Kluyveromyces lactis: one gene and its partner. The protein of the gene in region 1 purifies or fractionates together with the protein of each later gene. This does not show direct contact. Links are inferred from orthologs where the notes say so. Each region holds a gene or a part of one and is shown in the gene's direction. Other genes may lie near its edges.

The links.
Region 2: the proteins of MRPL37 (region 1) and MRPL19 purify together in Saccharomyces cerevisiae (affinity purification with mass spectrometry, with the first as the bait; 3 studies listed by BioGRID). This does not show direct contact. The link is inferred for Kluyveromyces lactis from reciprocal best matches to the Saccharomyces cerevisiae genes MRPL37 and MRPL19.

What each region holds. Positions count from the first base shown.
Region 1 is NC_006042.1:158,422-161,009, reverse strand, and holds MRPL37 (mitochondrial 54S ribosomal protein mL54), read left to right. Parts: upstream 1-1,746; coding exon 1,747-2,043; downstream 2,044-2,588. Other genes in the region: mannose-ethanolamine phosphotransferase LAS21, read left to right, coding at 1-1,541; linker nucleoporin NUP82, read left to right, coding at 2,338-2,588.
Region 2 is NC_006040.1:715,529-718,284, forward strand, and holds MRPL19 (mitochondrial 54S ribosomal protein uL11m), read left to right. Parts: upstream 1-1,741; coding exon 1,742-2,191; downstream 2,192-2,756. Other genes in the region: serine/threonine protein kinase NPR1, read left to right, coding at 1-1,269; ubiquitin-specific protease UBP10, read right to left, coding at 2,518-2,756.

The sequences.
Region 1 (2,588 bases):
CGTTCTTGTCTAAAAGGTTAAAAAAGTATCAAAGCTCTGATATTCAGCAATCCTCTAATGTGCCCGTTGAAGATGCTCATCCAGACTACAAGTACTTGAAAGAAGTAGAACAAATCGATATTGTTCCAACGTTGAGTATGCTTTTCAATCTTCCAATTCCTAAGAATAGTATGGGTGTTATAATTGATGAGCTCCTGCAATTGCTTCCATCCAAGTTAGCAGCGATTAAAGTGCAAGATAATTATCTACAGTTAACTAAGTTGAAACCAGGCTATGAAGCACAACTCGAGAAGAAAAGTGCAGGAACTCTGTTGGAGGAGATGAGGGAAATTCAATCTTCTTTAGCAATGGCTGCTACAAATTACAATTACACTTTCTTAACTTATGGTACTACTCTCATGATAATTGGAACGCTCATAGTCACGGTATGGAATTTCCAACTAAGTCAGGAATATATTGAACATGTTGGTACTTCGGTGCTATTAGGAATAAGCATGTTTGCAAGTAGTTTTATTGAAGAAGAACATCAAATATGGTGGTGGATCACGATATCCGTACTTCTACTGATGCAAATATCGAACGGGAAAAAACTGGTTGTGCTATCTGGATTAAGGCTGATTCGTGGTTGGAACAATAGTGGCCAAAAATATATATACGACAATGTTCTACACACTCTTTTAAAATCACATACATCAGTCCTATGGTGGTTAAATGTAGTGACTTTCTTGTCCGTGGGTTTCCCATTTTTGAGAAACAAAGACGAATCAGAGAAAATGGTATCATTACTCTCCGTGTCCTTTTTGGCCTTGTCCTCGATAACTTACAAAATATGCTTTGCTATTGTTAACGGGGATAAAGTCCCAAGCGGTCTATACACATTCGCACTTAGATCATGCGCCATGTATCTAGCTAATGAAAATGCTACAGAATCAGATATTTCACAATGTTTAGTGCCTATCGCTCGGATTTTCTTCCAAATATGTGGTGTATCTATTATAATCCTTCTTTTCATGAAATACGCCTTGAATAAAAGCACCAATATGTTAAACAAACTACTGAGTGTTATAAAATTCGTCTTGTTGCTCCAAACTTCATCTGCAAATATCCCATTGTTTCTAATATTTGAAATACTGACTAGCGTCACACCGGACATCACACCAATTTTCTCATTATGTCTACAAAACCTCACTTTTTTCCAATTTGGTGGTACGAACTCCATTGCAACTGTCAATCTAACTAATGCATACAATGGTGTTAGTAGCAACTATAACATATACGTTGTTGGTGTATTAATGTTCTTGTCTAACTACGCACCATCCATCTACTGGGCTCTCTCACTAATTCCTCAAAGCTACAAACAGAAGACACTACGCTTGCAGCATTACTATATCACCGGAACATGTCTAATGATAGCGTGCATTGCACTAAGGTACCACCTATTCATTTGGTCCGTGTTTAGCCCGAAACTATGCTACTACGCGGCCTGGTCCCTCTATAATGTCGTCATGGATTTCGCCATTACCCTGCTTGGCGTTTTGTGAATTCTTAGTTTTTGAATGAAAAATTTCGATAAAATCAACATTTTGTACCATAGAAATTCAAATTGGACTGTAAATGATCATGAACTTTGATAGCCGCAAGGCAGGACAAACTTGCCAAAACTTATTGTTGAGGTTCGAATTGGTATCGGCAACCACATACCCACCATAACAAATCGGTTATTTTTCATATTATATAAAGAGAGAAATGTTGAGAGTGACTCGCGTGCTATTTAACCAAGTGAAAAGCGAGGCATCTGGCCAAGCTGCCAAGATCGTGTCATCATGTCCAGCTGGCACTCCATTGAACTTACAAATCAAGAAATCCGGTAAGGAACCCGTGGCATTAGAAGACAGCGAATACCCTGAATGGCTCTGGACAGTGCTTGATGCCAACGTCCAAGCTGAAAAACTAGCAGCTGATCCAATCAAGCTAAGAAAAAAACAATTAAGGATAGCCAACCGTGCCAACATCAAACAAAATAACTTCTTAGCAAAGATTTAACGGACCCACAGTATGATTCACGCCTGTAAATATATATACATATAAAAATGACATAAAGACACATATCTAACATAACTTTTTGATATCTTTCGTACACTTCCTTTTCTGCAATACTGGATCTGCTATAGGTATTTTTTTTTTTTTACTATTAAAGTTCAAAATATTCAAAATATATCGACGATGAACTACTCTCACGCTTCTTGAAATACACGTAACACAGATCAACTGGCGATCTAACTGTGGTACCTTCTCTTCCATAACTTTAACTGCCGGATATTGAACCAATATAGTGGGATGTTACTCTTCAATACAGAAGATTTGAAGGCAATCTTCCAGGAAGTGTCTCTGAACCCTTCCGACCGTCTTGTCTGCAACAATTCCAACACTATTTATTTATGGCAGGACAACATCTTAAGAGTGCAATCAGACCACGAAACGCAATACAGGAGTTATAATGTGGAGCTTCCATTCGTTCCAGAACAAATGGTCATCAGTCCGTCGGGGGGCCTTGTAGCATTTCATGCGAACAGCGAGCTCTATGTCAT
Region 2 (2,756 bases), on another chromosome or scaffold:
AAATCTCGTCACAGCTCCGTTGCTGATTTGAAGAGATTCTTTAAAAAACACGGTAACTCCTCCGCTTCATACAGTGAGTCTCCACCAATCAGTGCTAACTTTTCAAATGCAAGCGGTGCAAGTGCAGGATTTGCGCCTGGATCATTGGGATCCAATGACGTTGTGTACGCTGCTTCGCATGTACCTGCATTACCATTCAGTAAACGTTACCTTAAAACTGGGGAAAATTTGGGTGCCGGTGCCGGTGGTTCCGTTAGATTAATGAAAAGGATCAGTGATAACCAAGTCTTTGCTGTAAAAGAATTCAGACCAAAGTTTGAACACGAAAGTAAGCGTGATTATGTGAAGAAAATTACTTCTGAATACTGTATTGGTACAACTTTACGTCATCCAAACATCATATCCACTATTGAAATTGTTTACGAAAACAACAGGATCTTCCAAGTCATGGAGTATTGTGATTATGACCTTTTCGCCATCGTCATGAGTAATAAGATGTCGTATGAAGAAATCTGTTGTTGTTTCAAGCAAATCTTGACCGGTGTAGAATATTTACACAGTATTGGTCTGGCGCATCGTGATATGAAGTTGGACAACTGTGTAATAAACAACCAGGGTATAGTGAAGTTGATTGACTTCGGTGCTGCAGAAGTCTTCTCCTACCCCCACTCAAAAACTTTAATCGAGTCAAGTGGCATTGTTGGAAGTGATCCATATTTGGCTCCCGAAGTTTGTATATTTACCAAGTATGACCCAAGACCTGTTGATATATGGTCCGTTGCCATTTTGTTTGCATGTATGGTATTAAAGAAATTCCCATGGAAGATACCTAAGTTAAAGGATAATTCCTTCAAATTCTTCTGTTCGGGAAGAGACTGCGATTCCTTGAGTGCTTTAGTCACAAAAACACCTAAACCGCCAAGTTATGACAATGCCGTCCAATCTGATGAGCCAGCTGAGAGCACATCTAAATCGAACAACCCATCTGATCCAAACAACACGAATATTGGTCCTCAAAGACTACTTCATTCCTTACCGGAAGAGACCCACCACATTATCGGTAGGATGGTAGACTTGGCTCCTGCTTGTAGAGCCAATATTGAAGAAGTATTAAATGACCCTTGGATTCAATCCATTGACATGTGCACCGTTGAAGTAGACAACCAAGGTAACTACGTCGTGCACCCTGGAATGGACCACAAACATACCCAAGTTGATCAAAGCGAAGCCCACATTGCTGGTCTTGAAAAGAAAAAAAAGGCAAAATAAATTAAGAGAGAGAGTAAAACTAGCAATCCGGCTGAGGTATGTTCTACAGCATGTTTTATCAAATAAGAGTAACTCTTCTGAGACGACATAGACTTCTAATTGTTGTGCAATCGTTATAAATTATCTCTCCTGTAAAAGTACACAAATGTATAAAATATTTAAGAACAATTCTTGGCATTCTCATAAAATTAATGCTTTATAACGTTAGCAACCTTTGGCATGAAGTCGGTACACATCGCAGCATATGGTTCTATTTAGCAGACAATGAATTGTGCTTATTAGAAAGTGTATAATGGAAAACAATGTGCGGGTAATAACTTCAAAATTTTCTTTGGCCTAAAAAATTCTTGGAGATATGCCAGATTATAAGCTGGTAAAAATCGATGGCTTAAAGTAAGATGTGCATTCAATCCGATCAATTGCCTCGAACAAAATATCGAAACAGTAAGTCCAGGAAGCGCCAAACAGGACCATGTCGAAGGTTCTTAAGAACGTGATAGTCAAACTTATTGTCGGAGCAGGTCAAGCTGCGCCTTCTCCTCCAGTTGGTCCAGCTTTAGGGTCTAAAGGTATTAAAGCTATTGATTTCTGTAAAGAGTTCAATGCCAGAACAGCAAACTTCCAACCGGGTACTCCGATTCCAGTACTCATCAATATCAAACCAGATAGAACATTTTCGTTTGAAATGAAAAGCCCTCCTACTGGATATCTTTTATTGAAGGCATTAAGTCTTGAGAAGGGACACGGACAACCAAATATCAGTAACCCTGATAATGTATGTGGTGAACTGTCGTTAAAACATATATATGAGATCGCCAAGATCAAGAAGACCGATGGAAGACACGCTGCTCTGGAACTTGAAGGAATCGTAAAGTCTATTATCGGTGTTGCTAAGAGTATGGGTATTAAGGTAGTTCCATAAACTGACTTTTTTTTCACTAATCAAAGCATCGATTTGTGAAATAGTGAAGGTCTCGATGGAGAGTTTCATTCCAACTGGTTTATTAGCATTTGTAGACCTCATTTCGTGTACATAAAATAGAATAATGAAAAGATAAAATTATAATAATATATCAACTACTATAGATGAAGATGTATATGATGATCCAAATGAACTGAAACCGAAGTGAAAAAAGATGAACTGAAGTCAGTGTGAGGTAGATGCATGTATGACTGTTTACAAAGAAAGAATGAACAAGGATGCAAGTGTATTGTAAGCCGGTAGTTTAAGGAAAGGGTTATTCAAACTTATGGGGAAATCCTTCTCTTCTTGTTTTTTTTCTTATTCTTACGTTTAGAGTTGTTCTGCGATGATGAGTGTGAAGATGGAGGTCTTTGCAATTGCGGAATACCTAGATCAGTAGATTTATTGGAAGATTGAGAGGAAAGTGGGACCGATTTTGGTGTAAGTCTAGTGTACACTAAGAAGTACGCGTTTGGCTCTTTCAAAAGCTGTTTTTCTGAAATTTTATTGATGTATTCGTCGT